Oryzias latipes: one gene and its partners. Each later gene encodes a partner of the first gene's protein in a complex. Links are inferred from orthologs where the notes say so. Each region holds a gene or a part of one and is shown in the gene's direction. Other genes may lie near its edges. The genes, in order: rad9a, rad1, rhno1 and hus1.

What was found.
Region 2: the proteins of rad9a (region 1) and rad1 are in contact, whole or in part, in a crystal structure (PDB 3GGR), measured with the Homo sapiens proteins. The link is inferred for Oryzias latipes from reciprocal best matches to the Homo sapiens genes RAD9A and RAD1. Residues at the interface, in NP_004575.1 of Homo sapiens: Leu76, Ser82, Val83, Ser86, Leu90, Lys92, Leu112, Phe116, Gly117, Val118, Arg119, Lys120, Thr121, His122, Asn123, Leu124; in NP_002844.1 of Homo sapiens: Glu165, Ala166, Ser168, Glu169, Asn195, Ala196, Gly197, Ser198, Ser199, His200, Leu201, Asp202, Tyr203, Pro204, Asp206, Ser207, Glu211.
Region 3: the proteins of rad9a (region 1) and rhno1 are in contact, whole or in part, in a crystal structure (PDB 8WU8), measured with the Homo sapiens proteins. The link is inferred for Oryzias latipes from reciprocal best matches to the Homo sapiens genes RAD9A and RHNO1. Residues at the interface, in NP_004575.1 of Homo sapiens: Val41, Ser44, Arg45, Ser46, Ala47, Tyr48, Glu130, Leu132, Gln133, Ala134, Val135, Glu165, Tyr181, Glu183, Thr216, Phe217, Cys218, Gly244, Pro246, Val261, Leu262, Ala263, Thr264, Leu265, Ser266; in NP_001239428.1 of Homo sapiens: Thr88, Lys90, Phe91, Pro92, His93, Leu94, Thr95, Phe96, Glu97, Ser98.
Region 4: the proteins of rad9a (region 1) and hus1 are in contact, whole or in part, in a crystal structure (PDB 3GGR), measured with the Homo sapiens proteins. The link is inferred for Oryzias latipes from reciprocal best matches to the Homo sapiens genes RAD9A and HUS1. Residues at the interface, in NP_004575.1 of Homo sapiens: Leu157, Pro158, Pro161, Val176, Ala186, Lys191, Ala192, Met193, Val194, Thr195, Glu196, Met197, Cys198, Leu199, Gly200, Asp203; in NP_004498.1 of Homo sapiens: Thr84, Asn87, Arg90, Ala91, Lys93, Thr94, Phe110, Ser121, Ser123, Ser126, Arg127, Ile128, Val129, Thr130, His131, Asp132, Ile133, Pro134, Ile135.

Annotation. Positions count from the first base shown.
Region 1 is NC_019868.2:13,973,250-13,978,215, reverse strand, and holds the start of rad9a (cell cycle checkpoint control protein RAD9A), read left to right. Parts: upstream 1-1,893; 5' UTR 1,894-3,219; coding exon 3,220-3,253; intron 3,254-3,331; exon of another isoform or gene 3,332-3,360; coding exon 3,361-3,431; exon of another isoform or gene 3,432-3,550; intron 3,551-3,556; coding exon 3,557-3,630; intron 3,631-3,714; coding exon 3,715-3,763; intron 3,764-4,966. Other genes in the region: uncharacterized protein LOC105354882, read right to left, coding at 211-329, 440-1,297. UniProt on the Homo sapiens protein: Component of the 9-1-1 cell-cycle checkpoint response complex that plays a major role in DNA repair. The 9-1-1 complex is recruited to DNA lesion upon damage by the RAD17-replication factor C (RFC) clamp loader complex.
Region 2 is NC_019870.2:9,821,987-9,827,026, forward strand, and holds rad1 (cell cycle checkpoint protein RAD1), read left to right. Parts: upstream 1-1,628; 5' UTR 1,629-1,781; exon of another isoform or gene 1,782-1,784; intron 1,785-2,483; exon of another isoform or gene 2,484-2,486; 5' UTR 2,487-2,492; coding exon 2,493-2,687; intron 2,688-2,778; coding exon 2,779-2,887; intron 2,888-2,967; coding exon 2,968-3,125; intron 3,126-3,314; coding exon 3,315-3,415; intron 3,416-3,540; coding exon 3,541-3,639; intron 3,640-3,848; coding exon 3,849-4,035; 3' UTR 4,036-4,282; downstream 4,283-5,040. Other genes in the region: brix1 (ribosome biogenesis protein BRX1 homolog), read right to left, coding at 4,746-4,994. UniProt on the Homo sapiens protein: Component of the 9-1-1 cell-cycle checkpoint response complex that plays a major role in DNA repair. The 9-1-1 complex is recruited to DNA lesion upon damage by the RAD17-replication factor C (RFC) clamp loader complex.
Region 3 is NC_019881.2:18,846,446-18,850,357, reverse strand, and holds rhno1 (RAD9, HUS1, RAD1-interacting nuclear orphan protein 1), read left to right. Parts: upstream 1-1,666; 5' UTR 1,667-1,830; intron 1,831-1,962; 5' UTR 1,963-1,985; coding exon 1,986-2,144; intron 2,145-2,255; coding exon 2,256-2,897; 3' UTR 2,898-3,018; downstream 3,019-3,912. Other genes in the region: foxm1 (forkhead box protein M1), read right to left, coding at 98-246, 341-782. UniProt on the Homo sapiens protein: Involved in microhomology-mediated end-joining (MMEJ) DNA repair by promoting recruitment of polymerase theta (POLQ) to DNA damage sites during mitosis.
Region 4 is NC_019878.2:4,319,855-4,324,800, forward strand, and holds the start of hus1 (checkpoint protein HUS1), read left to right. Parts: upstream 1-1,619; 5' UTR 1,620-1,906; coding exon 1,907-1,958; intron 1,959-3,868; coding exon 3,869-3,996; intron 3,997-4,071; coding exon 4,072-4,248; intron 4,249-4,946. Other genes in the region: cell death activator CIDE-A, read right to left, coding at 23-90. UniProt on the Homo sapiens protein: Component of the 9-1-1 cell-cycle checkpoint response complex that plays a major role in DNA repair. The 9-1-1 complex is recruited to DNA lesion upon damage by the RAD17-replication factor C (RFC) clamp loader complex.

The DNA of each region.
Region 1 (4,966 bases):
TGACAAATGCTGTCAGTTACTGATATAAGTCAAGGCCATTAATGAGGGGGGAAAAATCTAGTAACTGTACTGGCATGGAAACATTCTTAAATTCCTTTCATATCTTTGTGATGATGGCTTTTTGAGAGACATTGCAAACAGACTGTGAGTGTTCGGTGCTTTATTACTGGAGCTAAAACCCTTGCGCTTTTTTTGGAGTCAATTGATTACCTGGAACTGCTGTCAGTTGTGCTGTCCTCTGTTTTTACAGGAAACATGCTGCTGCCCACTGAGGAAAGAGCCCCTTTCCCATCCGAGTTTGATGTATTAAAAAGATCCTCCACCCGTTGCTGTTTTGAGGTTAAAATTTGTCAATTAAAAATCCTCAATTTTCCATCTAAAGATTTATTTTTGAAATTTTGACTTTAGGAAATAAGAAAAGTGAACATATCCTACTCACCTGAGTTTCTTGCTCGGCTATCTTATCTGTCGTGCTTCCCTCTTCTCTTGGCTTTTTGCCATTGTTCCCTTGTTTGTCCTTTAGTCTCTCCTTAATTTTCTGTGTCCATCTCTTTTTGGTATTATTCTCAGATTCTGATCTCTGTTTTCTCCTGCTGCCTGCTGGTTTTTGGTTACTTGCAAAGTGCAAGCCTCTACTTTGGTCCAAACCTGCACCATTCCCCGTGTTCAACTCCTTGTTGTCTTTGTCAGCATCAGTACCCTTCTTGGACCACACATGCGATTTGGGTGTGAAACCCTGAACTGTGGTCTGATTGGATCTCAAATTAAAAGCAGTCTCCTTATTAGCAAGGAAGGGTTGAGTCATTGTAAAGTTTCCAAAAGTGCTTGTGTCCCCATTAGTGGACTTAAAGGAAGTGAGATCAATGTCCTTTGGTGATGTTGCAGGAAACAGATGCCACGTTGCTGCTGGTGTGACCCCAGGATGAGTGGCGTGTTCCAGCACCCAGCTCTTGCTCTTGTTGCTAACAGCACTGAAATTAAAAGAAGGGAAGGAAACTGGACTGCTCACCTCACAGCCAGGACCTGGTTGCTTCCCTTTTCCACCACTAAAGCCAAAGTCAGTGGGGGACCCATACTCTTTTAAGGCACTTCCGTTGAAACCAAACACTTCCACAGTGCTGGTGTTGACCCCCTGTGGAGGGAACAATCCTTTTTCATGATGTTGCACCGGTGTGGGAGCATCCACGGCAAATGTTTGCTGGGATCCATGGCCTTCTGATCCTGGCTGGAGCTTCAGTTTCTGAAGCATTGACTGCAGCATGGCCTGCGTGTCTGTCTGTTGCTGTGACTGAGACATCTCTAAAGGTCACATTTAGATGTAGTCACAGTGTGTACAAACGAATAATCCTCTTTTTATCTAAACTAGCAAAGGTATCACACCATTTTCTGTTGTACTGAGGCTGAAACCCATGTTAGAAAAATTGAAATGTCACAATTATTTGATATAAAAAACATCCTGCAAGGACTAAGTCCCTTTTTTGGGATGTTCTGGTCTGTTTCAATCATGCTTACACTTTCTCTTTGCAAACGGTCAGTTGAACGTCCTGTCACTTCTTTTGTTGATGTCTTCCTGTTATTTTGAATTTCCTCCACTTAGAATCCTCAGGTTTTATGAAGTAGGGGTCCTCCTTTCCTCGTTTTAACAAAAGAAGCCAGCACCTCCCGAAGGCAGTCCTCTTGTATCCATTAGATATCTTTCACTGAATGTCCACAGCGATTAGTTTAGTCCCACCTCTTCTTCTTTTCGCGGCCACTACTGTCAGCGGTGATCAGAGGAGAGGTGGTTCTCGACAGCGTTCCTCAGATCTCACGCACTGAAGCAAACCAACACGTAAAACCAGTGAGGTTAGATAACTTTGCTTTCCCAGTGACTCTCCCTTTGTGACTCTCCCTTTGTGACTCCCTTTGTGACTCTGGCTTTGCAGCCAGTTTAGCTTGCCCTTCCGTCCTATTTCTCTCAGGCTCTCTTACACATGCACTATTTTTCTCCACTTTGGGTTTCAGCTAGTAATTACAGTGAGGTTTTGTAAGATCAGTAGCTACTTCTAAACAGAAGAAGAAACATGACACAAAAAGTCAGCTTTTTGGAAAATGCCATTTTACCTCCACCCTTTACTTTTGTTTTTTCATTTTATCTAAATGCCAACAATGTCAAAAACTTGACATTGTTGGCAGGGAGTCAAACTTACCACTTGAACTACAGCAACTTTTCCCTATATGTGAAATAAACGTGCATAAAAAGCACAAAAACAGAATAAAGTAACAGAATTATCTTTAAAACTTTAAGAAACAGATAATAACACTTCAGTTATTCAGGATATTACCTGTATTTTTATAAAAACACCTACAATTATTCCACATTGGTATTGTTTTCCAGAATACAGCCCAAAATGTGTGGGAATCATGCCAAAGAAAGCAAAGTCTACAACAAAGACTGCAGCTTTACAAGTTCTTTCAAGAAATCTAGTCATAGTAAGAGGACAAAGAAGGTGAAGAACTTGATCACCTGTAACCACCTAAAGCTTGAAGAGGGTCAAAAGAAACATACTGCACTTTTTAATAAGGTAAAAGCCTTTAAAGGACCAAATTCTCTGTTTTAGTTTAAATGACTGAAATGACATTGCTTTGCTCTTAGGTGTAATGTGTTGGGGGAGTGGGCACCTCAACAGAAGTAGACTAAAAAGACGAATTTGATGTAATATGTTAAGTGGAAAGTGATATTGAGTGATAGTGGGTGGCTGTGGTGGACGGAGTGGACACAGTTAAGTTGCTGTCCGTCTATCAGAAAAATATATTATATACTTTGCTTCGGAGTCTGTTAAATAAAAAAATAATAATATTTTTATAAGTTGTAAAGACAGGTTGAATCCTTTAATACTGCGAGTGTCGACGTAAAGAAATTTCATAGTAAAAACACCAAAGCTATTGCGCATGTGCATGGGTGTAGCCGCGCCCTCTTCGAAATTCAGTAACTCTGATTGGTCAACTGTGCGGAAGCAGCTTGTGGCGCCGTAAACAACGTGAGGTTTGGCTCAACTGTCTTGCAGTCTCCTAAAAAAACATTTGGTATTCCACTAACATTTAAGCATAAGTTTAGAAAGTGCGTCTGTGTTGTACGTGCAACATACGAAAGCCCCCTTAATTATTTCGATGGTGTTGCACAGCTGCTAGTTTGGATTCATTTTAGACTAACTCGACGGGGAAAGTTCGTTTGCAGAAATGCAGTGTGTCGTGACGGGAGGAAACGTGAAAGGTAGACCAGGATTTTTCTGTCACTGAAACACAATTGTGCTACTACCATTGATAATAATAACAAAGCTGTCGTTATTACCTGTTTGGGCGCGTGCGTCCACTCAATAGTGTTGGCCAAAGCTATCCATTCTCTGTCGCGCATCGGTGATGAGTTGTACGTGGAGCCCCAGGAAGACGGGGTGAGCTGCTTTGACGCTGTCAGAAACACCAGCACTTCCTCCTACCAACCATCATGTATATATTTTGCTTACTTCCTGTTTGCGTCGACGAATGGTGCTGATTTGAATGCATCTCTCTCTTGTAGCTGGCGCTGCGGTCTGTGAACTCTTCTCGGTCGGCATATGCTTGCTTCCTGTTCGCACCACTCTTCTTCAGCAGGTGCACGCTCCGCTCTCGTTTCAATCAATCACAGATCGTGTCAGTGATGCAAGTCAGCTTCCAACTGCCCGTGTTTTTGTGCAGGTACTCGATTCCCGACGGGAGAAACTTCCGCTGCAAGATAGCAATAAAGGTGGATTCTCAAGCTGTTTACCAATGAAAGTGAATCTGCTTATCTTTTTGTGAAAAATCCCAAAGCTCATCATCAGATGACTCCAAGTACTTTTCTTTGTCCTTTATTAAGTACATTTCCCAATAAAACATACTTTGACCATTATTTGTTAGTAATATTTGTAATCATTTAGTTGTTATTAGCATCAATTACATCTCCATACTCCTTCCTCCAGAACTGTCAGATCCTCAGGTCCTGCTCTCTAATCTGAACCAGGACTCACAGCGAGGCCTCTTTTCAGTACAGTGCTCCTCATCTGTGGAGTAACTTACCTGCAGATCTGACATTTTCTGCATCCGTGGAGATTTTTAAATGTAAATTAAAGATGCATCATTCTAACGTAGCACTGCGTAACTCATATAATTAACTTATTTATTTATTTGGCTTTTCAGTATTTTATGTTATCGTTAGTATGTTTTTACCCTTCTATCTTTTAAGCTTTTAATCTACTGTTTTTTATGACTTTTTAACCTATGTTTACATATGACTTTTATGTCAAGCATGTTGATGAAAGGTGCTCTAAAAATAAAGAGGTGGATTGCAATTAAAGTTTTTAATATAAACGTGATCAGATGAAAGATTTATGACATTGATATGATTTGCTTTAATCTGCCACTTATAGCTTTCACCCGTCCTGTTAAGTTTGGCAGTCCAAGCTTACTTTTATTGGTTAGTCATTAAACATATTTTTGTCCCCTTTTAGAAAAAAAAATCCCTTTATTTCCCTTCTTTGACATCTTGACTGTCATACGATGCATTTGTACGACTATTATTATTATTTTTTCAAACTCCTAAACTCCCCCAATCTATTTCTTTTTCAATTTTAAGAATAGGAATATGTATGATTGCTTACCGACTGTTATCCGATTTAACTGTTTAGAAGTGAAAGTTTTTGAGCTAAAACCCGTTTTCTTGATTTCAAGTTATCTCTTTGCTGCCATGTAGCAACTTTAATGTTGTGGTTATCTGAGTGAAAATGTTTCAAACCTCTTAGCTTCCTTCCTCTGGCAGTTGTAGATAATAACAAAAGGGGCCAAATACGCCTATTCTCACTGCTGTGTGAAAGCTCACCTAATAGTAACATCACTTTGCAAATCAATGTCTAACCTTTAACCCTTTTTTAAAAGAAGCAGTTAGGATATGTTGTTTTGTAAATGTTCAGAC
Region 2 (5,040 bases), on another chromosome or scaffold:
CAGTCCAATGGAAACAGTGTTCTTAGTGTTCTTGTGACACAGGTGCCAAAGTACACCACACACTCCCTTCGCCGTTCCATTCCTATGCGTCCATCTACGTCCTTGTTTTTCTTGTCAAGGCTGGCATCTGCCACTGGTAATGTTAGGTTGGTGTAAAAGGCTGTAAACTAGCAGATGAGTGTGTAAACAAATGGATGATGGGAAGTGGAGGAAGGCTTACTCCGCACTAATGGTCCCGCCCACAACTTAGAAGTGAATTCTAAGAACAACACAGGTTTTTTGTTTGTTTGTTGTGTGTGACTAAAACGGCATCGTCATAATAACGAGGCCACTGGGAACCTTTTAAAAAAGATCACAAAGATGATTTGAGTGGGACTTTAAAGTCCAAATGATACAAATAAAAAGACGTCCAATCACAAGCTTGCTTCTACCTGGTCGGGCCAATTACAATTGTCTAAAGGGGAACTACAGGGAGGGATGCGTTTTGTGTGCTATAAACATATTACAATCCTTTTTTCCCCACAGGACTGCAAACAAGGCCTAAATCAAATAACCACAAGGGGAAAATCAATATTAAAGACGCAGAATACCAAGTCTTTATGTTTGAAGCTTCTATGTTAAGGACTTTGCTTAATTGATAAAAGTAAAAAGTGGCAGTAAGTAAGTTTCTCTCGTTGGCATTTTGTTTATAGTTTTATAAATGAATAATAAATACATTGTCTACAATTAGGTAGAAGATTTGGACTGTATCATATTGCCACAAAGTTTGATTCATCTATTTGTGTCCATTTGTGGACCGTGTATTGAGATTTGAGCGCTGCTCTACCTTTGAATTCCATTCAATTCAATTTTATTTGTATAGCCCAAAATCACAACAACAGTCATCTCGATGGGCTTCGAAGTAAAACATGAACTCAAAAGGATCATGAATACAAAGAGTTCAATAGGAAAATACTAAAAAGAACTAACAAACTGACTAAGCTATACTGGCATCCCTGCCCTTAGACCCCCCTTCGCGGTAAGGAAAAACTCCTAAAAAACCATTTGTCCAAAAACAATTTTAACAAACTTTGTTTGACCAACTCAGTTTGATTGCTTTAAAGCAGCAGGAAAATTGAGTAATTAAAAGAAAAAAATATAAGGAGAACAAAGCCTCAAAAGGTGGCGCTGTAGTCCCAAAAGTAAGATAAACATTTGACAGTTAGACAGACAGCCTGATGAGCTAGCTTAACTTGAACTGCGTCAGCAAAGTTGATGAAGCTTAAGTTAGCTGCCTCAGTTATTCAGCTTTATTAAAGGACTATTTCGGATCTATCTAATATATATTCCATTATTTAAAAACGACATGTATCTATTTCTAGTATTTTTTTTTTCCCTGAGGGAAACAGTTCTAGAGAAATATATGTCTCACCGGTACGTAGTGAGTTAGCTTCCAACTTCTCGTGCTCTTTTTGCGGCTTACATAACGAACACGGAAAACCAGCAGACATGGTGTCAAGCCAGATAATTTCAATAAACTTACCCTTTTTTCTAAATACGATCACAAACCACCGGCCTTAGTAGAGACAGCTGTTGCGGTCACGAAGAGTTGTTCAGTTTCGACTCAGGAGCGAAATCTCTGGAACATAGTGTGCCGCACAGAAACGCAACTTCCGTTGAGGGAAGACCAAACCGGAAGTTGCTACAAATCGGGCGCATTTCTTCGATACATGTCCGCAGTTTTCCAACCAACCAGGACAATTATAGATCAGTGGAGCACCCCTTTAAAAGCAAGTTAAAAAAAGGTAAAAGTTGCTTTTGTGTCGTTTATTACTCCTTATCTCAAGCTGCAAAGCTGAAAAAGTAGCCTAGCTAACACAGCTAATTTATTAACATGGCAAAGTTGAAGGAAATTCTGAAAATATTATTTAAGAAAAACATACGACAGAAACACTATTAGCAGCTAATTTGATAGCAGTAAAGTCATCATTCTGAACTACCTCACAATGCAAAATAAAACCGTTAATTAAGGAATTTCAGTGAATTCACAACAGCTAAAATAAACATCAGAAGCTAAAGAAATATATATTTTAATTCAGTTTGAAGAGTTTGATTAATTTTTAGACATTAAAGCTGAGTTGAGAAAACTCAGCTTTAATGAGTTTTCTCATTAAAGCTGAGTTTAATGATCTCATTTCTCATCTTCTTGATGCAACATTGATTCCTCAAACCTTATTATGTGATCATTAAATACAATTAGAAAAAAGGTTGCTTTCTAATGTTAGAAATATTGATATTAGTAATATAATTTTTTCTCCTAATGATTTTTAATCCCGAATAATAAGTTTTAATTAAATTCAGTCCTATCAGAATTAACCTGCCGAATGTCCATCAAATAGATTCAATATGTTGGCATTAATACCCAGAAAGCTGAAATGTTTTTTGCTGAAATAAATAGTGTATTTGTTTTGTTTTAGATTCTTGCAAACCTGTTTTTGTCTTTCAGCAGAGCAATGCCTCTGTCCACACAGTCTCAGGACGATGAGGAACACTATGTTTTAGTAGCCAGTTTGGACAACGCTCGCAATCTCTCCAACATCCTAAAAGCTATCACTTTTAAGGATCATGCAGTCTTCACAGCAACACCCAACGGCCTAAAGGTCACTGTGGAGGACTCCAAATGTCTTCAAGCCAATGCATTCATCCAGGTGTGTGTGCAGTCTTTGTTTTTGGATTTGCATCCATCAATTTTGTATTCGAAATCCTGACTGAAGAGAAGTTGTTCTGTTTTCACTCCAGACAGAGATCTTTCAGGAGTTCACCCTTAAGGAAGATTTGGTGACTTTTCAGATCAACCTCACTGTTCTGCTGGATTGCCTAAATATCTTTGGAGGAAATGCAGTAGCAGGTAAAGAATTTTTTTTTTTTTTGCACAATTCAAACTTAGTTCCAACCCTTTTTAGATCTTTTTTTGTTGTGACTTTGCAGGAACTTCTACTGCCTTACGAATGTGCTACAAAGGTTATGGATACCCTCTGACTCTCTTCCTGGAGGAGGGGGGCGTGGTGACAGTCTGCAAGATTAACACACAAGAACCTGAAGAACCAATGGATTTTGAGTTCTGCAGCACTAACGTTACAAATAAGGTTCCCGTCATCATTTGTCTTTTTGTGAAAAAGCTTCATCTTTTGAAAGATGATTTTTTTTTTAATTGAATTAGAAAAAACAGTGAAAGTAATATCTTACTTAATTACATCCAGGTGCTTAGTAGCTTGAAGTCTCGCATTTGTGTGTTTATTATGAAATCCTTTGGGAAAAAAATGCCCTTTTTAAAGGTGATTTTGCAGTCGGAGAGTCTGAAGGAAGCTTTCTCTGAACTGGACATGACCAGTGATGTGCTTCAGATCACCATGTCCCCCAGCCAGCCGTACTTCAGGTGAGCTGCTAAAACCTGCTTGCTGTTCTCCTGCACTGAATAAACAGTCTGCCTTCATCAGAAAGCAAAAAAAGATATGATATATTTAAGCTTTAAAAAATGCTTTACTGTTTGATCTGTTTAAGGTTGTCAACATTTGGGAACTCTGGAAATGCACATTATGATTATTCCAAAGACTCGGACATGATGGAGCTGTTTCAATGCACCATGACGCAAACGAACCGGTATGTGCAGATATCAGAAGAAACGTGCATCATTAAAGCCAAAAGATGACCTGAAATAAAAAACATTTCAAAAATGTTTTAATTTTGAAGATTCTCCTAAACATCTTTCAACTATTCTTTTTGTTTAAACATCTGCCACCTTACATATAACAGAGAGGGAAAAAAAGGCTCATCATTCATGTCTTCTTCTGTTTCATGAATCATGACAGATATAAGATGTCCCTCCTGAAGCCGTCCACCAAAGCCCTGGCTCTGTCCTGTAAGGTCTCAGTGAGGACAGACAACAGGGGCCTCCTCTCCCAGCAGTACCTGGTCAGGAATGATGACGGACAGATCTGCTTTCTGGAATTCTACTACTGTCCTGATGAGGAGGTGGAGGAGGAGGAGGAGGAATGACATTTAGACTGACCCAAACTAGCATTTTAACTGCAGTGGTTTCCAGTTGCTCTTAAAAAAAAACAGCCAAGAAGAGGAACTCTGTCAGGAGGCAATCCCAGTCTGATGAATGCAAACATAGAAAGATGACTGCTTCATTTAACGCAAGCTTTTGAGCTAAAGTCTTGACTAAATGTCTTGTAATGTGGGTATTTGCCGTCTGAACAGAAACTGAATCAAAACAAATAAACCAGAAGGGGCACTAAAAGGTCATTTCTAAAGATTAGAAATGCAGTGATGACACCTTTTCAGTTCTGACATGCAGCCAAGTCCCCCTTTTATCTTCCGTCTAGCTCTGCAGAGGAACGTACCATTTTCCTGATATGAGGGGAAGGTCGGTAAAGTTGATGCTCAAATCTAAAGGAGTTTCCTATTTATTGGATGTGTTTAGTATTTGAGGTGTTTGAAGTGAACAGTTAGCTGTACAGGTGAGGCTTTTGGGTCTTATTTAATGTACCGGTACACACATCACAACAATTAATTCTTGCTTTACTGCCAAATTAAAACAAAGCAGAAGTTGTCGGTTCATAAATTGTTGTAATACACTTGAGACAAACATTTTCTTCAGGAGGAAAACTTGGAGAATTACAAAAAAAAAATTCGGGGGGAATCATGTTTTCTCTGCGGGTGATTTGGATGAGAGAAAGTTCTTCAATCTCAGCTCAATCCCATTATCTGCGCGCCATCTGCTGCCGTTGCCTCTTGGACGGTTTGAATTTGTGCTTCTTCTCAGCTTTAGGCTCAGGGGGCTCCGTCTGAATTTCAACAGGTTTTTTGTCGGCCGGTGTCACAAAGACGTCAGCTGTGACATCTTTCTCCAAATCCTCTTTGGCGGCGCTCCTCTTCACTTTCTGCATCTCCTTTAAAGTCTGCTTCTCACGGACCTTTGCTGCAGCCGCCAGGCGGAGCTGTCGCCGGTGCTGTCGGCACAAGACACAAGAAAAACCCTTCAACTGCCTGCACGCA
Region 3 (3,912 bases), on another chromosome or scaffold:
GCCTCAGACTTGTGTTCCTGTCACACAAGAATCTGTTTGCACACTGGCAGCAAAAGTCACAACCGTGTGGAAGGAAAAAAAAAGACAAACAGCTGACCTGAGCAGTCTGAGACACGGGAGCCTGGTTCTCCTTGCCTTGTATTTGCTTTGCAGGCTCTGACTCTAGAGCACATGTGTTCATTTTGCCCAGCCACTGGATGTTGGTGAGGCTGTCATCCAAAGGGCCGCTATTCCCATCTTTACTCACTGAAAAAAAATTATATATATATATTGAAGCAGGTATTTCAGTTAAATGTAGCATTTCTGACATAAAATTTTAAACTCTGTGCAAATTCCTTACAGGGTTTAATGCCAGTCACATCAAGGGATGTGTGAGTGCTTTCTTTTGTTGCTGGTTCTTGAGATGGGATTTGTGTGGAAACAGCATCTCCTCCAGAAGTAGCAGTCTCACAGAAAGATCCGGCTTGATCCTGATTGCCATTGTCACTCAGGAGAATAAACTTGCTCGGACCCTGAACTCCGCTGTCTTTGCCTTTAGCGGCGAGGACACTAATTACACTCTGAACGTCTGTAGCTTTGGGAATGACCACAACCTGAGTGTCTGACAGGGATGGGTGGCCTATAAAGCGGACCCCGTCTGGGAAGCACGAACTGTCGCTGGAATTTGACGGCTCTTTGGAGCCACCGGACTGCCTGGATGGGTCTGCTGGGGTGGGTTCCTTTTGTTGAAAAGGTAACTTGCGCCTTTTGAGGATCAGGGGTCTCCTTGGGCTCCGTCTCATGGTTCAAATCATCCAAAGGGCCTTAGGTGTTCAATGGAAATCTGTGGGGAGGGGGAAAAGGTCTTGAGCTACAGTTATGGCTCAAAAAGTACTCAGAAGTTAAACACCTTATCAATACATTACGTTACAACGTTTAAATACTGACTTTAACGATAACCCCGAACTAGTGAGCCTGAAAACAACATACCTGCTAATAGAATACGAAGTAATCGGTCAAAAATGATGTTTCAATCCTATGATATCGTCTTCAAACTTAAAGAAACCCGATTATTGCTGTCTGTTTGCTGCAAAAGTCCCAACAGTCCCTCGCTCGAAAGTGAAGATTTTATTCGGTTCCCTTGGCGACATGCCAGTCGTTATAATTTTCAGTTGATGATAGGTTTAATTTCAATAACGTCTATCTAGTGGATATTCAGTGCAACATATATTTACATGTTAACACAATGCAATCAATAAAACAAAAAATAAATTCAAAAAATAACATGCGCCTAGCCAATGTCCCGATTAGCGTATAGTTTCCTTTATTTACAGCTAGGCTAAGCTAGCTATGCTAAAGCTGTTTGACGATGGAGGAAACAAGTGGAAAAATGAAGCCAGACCTTCACATTACTGAATTACTGCAGCGTTTCATTCAATTCCAGGCTTGGTTCGGCTTTCAATTCCACTTGTCGGATCAAAGAAAACATTTAAAATATTCACAAAACCGACGTATTTAGTAGTAATTAGATACAAAAAGTCAATCCATAAACAGTTTTGAATTTTGGCGCTGTGGGCGCTGCCCCGACTGTCACTTTGATCACATGGTAACAATGGACCAATAGTAAACGCAGAAAAAAACACTGGGCGGCTCAATAGGTGGCGCTGTGGGCCGCAGCTCGAGATGGCCAGCCGCTAACCCGAAGAAGACAAAGAAAAAATCCGGGAAATTAAAAGTAACAACAACACGGACAAGCTAAGATAAAAAGGTCTGAATGAACCGAAAAATAAGGGAACGTTTTTATTCCGTATTCCGTACATGGACACATAATCACGGAAAAAGCACAATATGGTAAGTAAAGAACGCGTTTCAAAAGTAAACACTTGAATGCGAATATGTAAACAGCCTCGATCTACGACTAAAGCTATGTGTATTGTTAACAAGATTACTCGATCGGATTTGTCTCTTGTTTGTTTTGAACAGATGCTTAAGATTGATTTAAATTGATGCCCCGGAAAGCGGCAAAGACAGACAAGCCTGCACTGCAATTCCTGGAGCGACCTGTGAGTGGCGCCAGACTTCAAAATGTGCCTGAAGTCAGAGCTGCTCTCAATCCCAGAGAGTTTTTCTCCAAGACACACAGCTCTTCAGCTCTCAGTTCCTGGGTAAAAGTCTTTTAAATATATAAAAATATATAAAACATTACAAATATAGATTTAGTTGATTAGATAACTGGCAAAAAAGTCTACTTAACTATAAATTTCCCAACCTTTCAGGTTCAACCCCAGTTTGACATCTCAGCTACACCTCCATTTAGACGAGGAAGAAGAAATTGTCAGTCCGTCACAAGGATTCTTGACACGTGCAACGAGCTGTCCAGGAAACACAAAGTGTGCAAATACCCATCGTTATTATTTCTTAGGGCGGAGAGAGACAAGTCCCATAATCCAAGTGGACAGCGCACAAAGAAAGCGGCAGAGGTGACGTCAATGCCTGAAGATCAACCACAGGGATCATGTCAAAGCAATAGGACAGTTTTACCTGCACCTAAGAGACGAAGAAATCCTCAAAAATCTTTAAACAGAGCTCCATCTCACAGTGAATATTTGCACCAACCTGAAAATCAGTTAATAGAGGTAACGGAGGAAAGCAGAACTCCACCCGGTGGGTGTAGTAGCCCTAGACTTGGCAATGTTGACCCGCCTCCTGAAGTGGACACTCCAACAATGAAGCAGAACAGTTGCCCCATGTCTCCCCCTGTTTGTTCACTGCTGGCTGATCCCTCCTCCCCGCAGTGTCATCTTCATCCTAATGTTTTGGTCTCCGACACACCAGAGAGGGACTATGGGGTGAAGGTGACGTGGAGGAGGAGAAAGGGATTGATGATCATATTAAAGGAAAGGGGCCTCCTCGATTAGTCACTTAAGTTTATTCTATCATAAATCTTTTAATTTTTGTAAAAAATCCTTTTTCATTTCTCTTGCACACCCAAATAATATTATTTTTTCCTGATGTTGCCTGACAAGAATCAAATGAAAAATAAATGAATTTGACATCTGATTAATAATTATTTATTTTTCTAAGTTTTGAACACATATTAGAAATTTAAGTCATACTGGATGGTCATTTGAAGCCCATTTCGTTTTAGAGAAAACCTTTTATTGTTCCCACCTTTTCCCCAGATGTAAACCAATTAGATTCCTTCTAGGAAAACAGCCGGCCAATAGGAGTGCTCGTTATTGGTCCGCTTGGTTGCCAAGGCAGAGTATTCATCCGCAGCTCCTGCGTCCGCAAAAAGCGTTTTTCTTCGAGGAGCCTTTTCCTTAGTAACCGTGCATAAACATGAGTTATTACAGCATAAGGTAAGAGTAAAGCCTTGAAAATACATCCTTACTTATTCACGGACTTCTTTGGTCTTCAGTTTTGTCTATTGTGGCGTGAAAATCCCGCTCGTGTCCGTGGAATTGTGTTGGGAAAACTTAAGTGTCGCCTTTAACTTTGATAAAACGCGGCATCGCAAACATCGGAAAACGGGCTGAAGCAGCTAACGTTAGCTTCTAACGGTTGTACGGTAGCTTTGATATTCAACTCCTGATAATTATAGAATTGATGACAATTAACTGAGAATGTTTTTAGTTTGATTTTTTTAGTGAGTTGCGACTTAACGGTTGTTTGGAAGAAGGACCGGTCAGGGAAAGTTATAAATCCCAGCGTTTGTTTTCTGTGTGTTTGGCTTGTTTTCAAGCGAACGCATTTACAACCACAGTTATAGGAACATACCAGCTTCATGTAAATATTACGTGTAAAATAAATTCTCATCTATCATTTTGAGGTGTTTTTGGCGGAAAATGCCCCCCCCCTCGCCTAAGTAAAAATATTTAATTTTTGCATATTTGAACAGATTATTATAATATTTGAGTTAAACCCTACGCG
Region 4 (4,946 bases), on another chromosome or scaffold:
CGCAAACTCGGAGCAGACTCACCTGAGCAGAGAATCCGGCAGCAGCGTTTTAGCGTAACTGACTCCGGACTGGATGGAGAGCGGCGCCATGCTCGCGCCAGTCAACAAAGAGGAGGAGGAGGAGAGATGAAGGTCCGAAGGCACGCCAGCACTTTATGTAAAACGGCGGCTTGTCATTGGACAGAGAACCAATCAACCTCATGCGCATGCGTCAGGTTAACCTTCAGCAGATGACTCATGCCTGAAGATAAAGATGAATTGAGCTCCAAGAAGAAGAAAAAGATTCCTAATCTGAAACACACAGTTGTACCTCAGCCAGCAGCTTCCAACCCTTTACTCCAGCCTGTTTCAAACAGAAACTGCAGCTTCTTAAGAGGATTAATCAGACAGGAAACAAAGAGCTCTCTCATGGAGGTTTTCTTTTTACCAGTCTGCCCTCAGAGTGAAAATGTTTGACCTTCTTCAGATGATAAGACCAAACATGGTGTCCAACGTGCTGAAGTTTGAGTTCTGGGTAAAGAGGACTGAGCCTTTCTCTAATCACCCACAAAGACCTGCTGTTTCACCTATGACCATTTTTTTCTTTTTAAACAAATGCAGCAAATATTTAAAAGAAAGAAGGGAAAGAAGATCTGCAGTGAAATATTTCTGCAGTCAGAAACCTTTGGATCTATTTGTCTGACATCAGGATGGAGCAGAATGTGGCTTTACTTATTCAATTTACTTTAGTTACTGACGACTTACAGTCCATCTGTTCCTTCCGTTCACTGAACTCAAGCATCACACAAATCTATCTTGAAGGACCAAAGTTTTGAAGGTTTCAGGTGAAACAAACAGCCAGAGGAGCCAGGACTTGTAGATCATGAACCTTGTGTGATCATTGTGCCGTTTACATGGAATTCTTTAGTGATTTGTGCGCCAATAAAGTAATTTTAACGTGATATGTGCGCCGTAGACGTGATATAAAAGTTATACATGCGTGAAAAGTCTGTTAGACATACGTGGAATGGTCGTGCAAAGCCACAAAATTGCATATACATCTCACAAAAATCACACACAATTGCGTAAGAATAATTGCGTGTAAACTATGCAAAATACACGTAAACTGTGTAATTTTCAACAAACTAAAAATTTTGAACAGCTCAAAACCAAATTCCCACACAGACCTGTCGTCCAAAACTCTCAACGGTTCTGTACTGAGTTTGACCTTTCTAACCTTTATCATAACCACAACACACGGGAATGCACCTGTGTCTCTGAAGGACCACAGCTGACATTTTTAATCATCTATTAGACATGAGGAGCAGATCATTTGCTGTTCAACTAAACTTGTTAGTTCTGAGAGGGTTTTATAACTTACTGAGTCTGTTAATTAGATTTGGGATTTCATTACTGCTGCAGGCTATTAAAGTTTGACATTGTGTTTATTTATTTTTTGACAATCAGTTCAACTTTTGACCTATTCCTTTTCTTCCTGTGTGAGAAGTTTTTTTTGTTAATTTCTTTTAAGATTTTTAACATTTTTAGACTTGATTTTATCTTTATTTTTTTGTTTGTTGATGTGGGCGTAGGTGTGTATAAATTTTGCAACATTATTTTTAACCATTGACTATATAGTCACACTTTTAATGCACTTTGAGCTGCATACAGTGCTGTATAAATAAAGATTGATTTATCCTTTTAATACCAAGTCTAATTCGTTTCAGTTTTTACAACAACTTTCGAATATTCTGGATTTATAAGTTATGTATCTGTTCAGACAGGAACTATTATTGTTTTGTTTCCGGGGAACATTTTACGCAGACGGACCTAACCAAGACAGAGCGCTTTAATGGTTTCCCGCCTGCGTTTGATGCGCAGAAGCTGTGTTTAGCAGAAAACCTCAGTATTTGGTCTCAGAGTCCAGATGAAGTTTCGGGGGAAGATCGTGGACGTGGCGTGTCTGAACCACTTCACCCGTGAGTCACTTCAAACAGCAAAAAAAAAAAAAAAAAAAAACTACCGAAAACTGAGAGCCGACGATGTCACATTCAGTTATCTACGAGCCACTTTCATTCACATTATAAATTTCGTATGTGTAAAAATTCACTTCAATCTGATCAGCAAATAAATCTAATATGATTCTCTTAAATGACGACTTTGAAAAACTTAAAACGTTTGTCGTGTCGCGTTGCATGTTGGGAATAGGAGTTCTGTAAATATATTTTTAAAGGGCTTTTAACCTCAGGTGTGCATTTCTGTTGTTTCTGTACCTGAAATGTATGAGTAAGCCCTTCAATTATGTTCAATTAAATTATTTTTGACGAACATTTTAAAATATTTTAACATTTAATTGATAATGTGACCAATAATAGCAACCAGAGACTGACTTTAGAAACTAGTAGTTTGAAACAAACGAAAATGTATTAAAAGAGAAAACTGCAGTTGGCTTAAACAACCTGACTTCACTTATCTGGTAAACCCAGTGAGTGCAGATATAAAAAAATACTAAATAAACATAAATAAATGTGCCTGTTTTGAGGAGAAATGTGTTAATCTGCCGTATTATTATCGAATAATTGGTGTTATTTGGTAAAGGAAATCTCATTTTGCTGTCCAACTGTTGACTGAAAACATCCAGTAACAGGGCTCCAGATTAACTTTTTTCACTAGGAGCACTGTTGCCCCCAACTGAAAATTTTAGGGCCACAACCAGAAAATTTAGGGGCGCATATTGTAAATCAACATGCTAACCAAATCTATTAATTTCCACTGTATTACTAATAAATACTTTTATAATAGATGCCGAAATTACAACGTGCTGTTTCAAATTCAGTGTCATATTTTATTCTGCACTTTTGAAGATGCAACAAGGTAAACTGACAGCACCATCGCTGTCATGACAGTACAAATAGTAAACAAAATACCATACATTAAAAAAAAGTTTTTAGTAACAAGTGAATACCGTAGTAACCTTTCGGTCATTTCACAGTTTCAAACAATACTTAAATGTATGTAAACATTAGGGGATGGAAATTCATGTTGGCGACACCAAATAGGTGCAGCCAAGATGCACAATAATTTGAGATCACCCAGATGGACGCAACGCTGCACAGATCACCTGGTGTGAGACATATTTTTGTTTTTCCTCAACATCACCTGTCAATCAAAACAAAAATATCACCAGAAAGGGGCGGAAGCAAGACCTCAACCTGAGCGAACGCAGCTAGAAATTTAGCACTGAACTGACTGAAAGCTGCCCTACAGACTACAAAACGATGCATTATGGGACATGCTTCCTGATGGGTTTTTTGTAGTTCACTGATCAATTAAAATAATTTAAAATACCAACTGATTAAAAAAAGCTACATACATTCCAAAACATTAAAATAATTATAAAAGATGTAATATCACAGATCATACTTAAGGGGAGAGGCATGTTAAAACTAAATTGAATGTTAAGGACTACAACTTCCTGCTCTCCTTCAGTCTCGCTGCAGCTTCGCCTTCATGCCCCCCCCCCCCCCCCCCCCCCCCAGGGCGCTGGTTTATCGTAAACCCGACTATTGTTGCATTTTCCACACGTGTTTTAAGTGCGTCTAAGACTAAATCGTCTCATTGTTTATTTCATTGCTCATTTCATTGATCATTGACGTGCCCCTTCCACGTTTAATGTATAAAAAATACGGAGGGTGGGGGAGGCAAATTTACTGGTAGATATCTAGCACATGCTAGATGTAAAATTCAGTCGCACACTCTCAAATTTTGGTCGCAAAATGCAACCAAATGGTCGCAGTCTGGAGCCCTGAGTAACAGGAAATGGTGAACATGTGGAGTAAACGGGTTCAGTGTGTGCTCAGGACTGACAGTGGTTGCTAACTTCCTCCAGGAGTCGTCACCACCATCTCCAAGCTGACCAAGACGTGCGTGCTGCGGCTCAACCCGGACAACCTTTTCTTTGTCCTGTCAGGGAAAGTGGCCAATGGAGGAGTCAGCATGTGGTGTGAGCTGTCACAGGTGAGCAACGCCACCTTTTGGTTTGGATTTGGCATTGCAGGAAGAATATTTTAAGCAATTTTAAACCTACTGCAGGCTAACTTCTTCGACGAGTACCAGATGGAGGGCGTTTCTCCAGAGAACAATGAGATTTGTCTGGAGTTGGCTCCAGAGAACCTGTCCAGAGCCCTGAAGACGATCCAGAATGCCAAATCTGTTAAAGTCAAACTTACCAAGAAGCATTGCCCCTGTCTGACTGTCTGCGCCGAGCTGGTAAGTCCTGCTCTGAGCACTTGACCCCTCAGCTTAGGAGAAACTGTCTTCAGGGAAGATCTGTGATTTTCATAAAAGCTTACTAACAATCTCCCAGTCTCAGGGTTCAGGTTGGTTCTTCTGGGTTTAGATAATTTTACGGTATAGATGATCTCGGTTCTCATAATCATGATATCCCATTGGGTTTATTTGAAGCTTTGAGCAACACCTGCTGTCCACACTTGTGAGCATTCTGTTCTCTGTTTTGGCCCGGATCTTGGCGTTTGGGCCGCTCATCAGAACCGTGACTGGCTGACGTGGATCAGTGGGATGTGAGCTAGCTGCTACCTTGAGCTGCATTCACACCAAACATCTTTTCACGCAGCGACGGAGCAGTTTCAAATCAATTCAATTCAATTCAATTCAATTTTATTTGTATAGCCCAAATTCACAACAACAGTCGTCTCAGTGGGCTTCGTACCGGTAATTGTAAGGTAAACATACAATAGAAAAGGATCATAAGGGCATAGAATTCAATAGGATAATACTAGACTTTAACCAAACAGACTAAGCTAAACTGGCATCCCTGTCCTTAGACCCCCCTTGGCGGTAAGGAAAAACTCCTTAAATAAACAGATTCCGGAAAAAACAAATAAACCTCAGGGGTGCCCACATGAAGGAGGGATCCTCCCCCAGGACAGACAGGCAATGTACCAGAA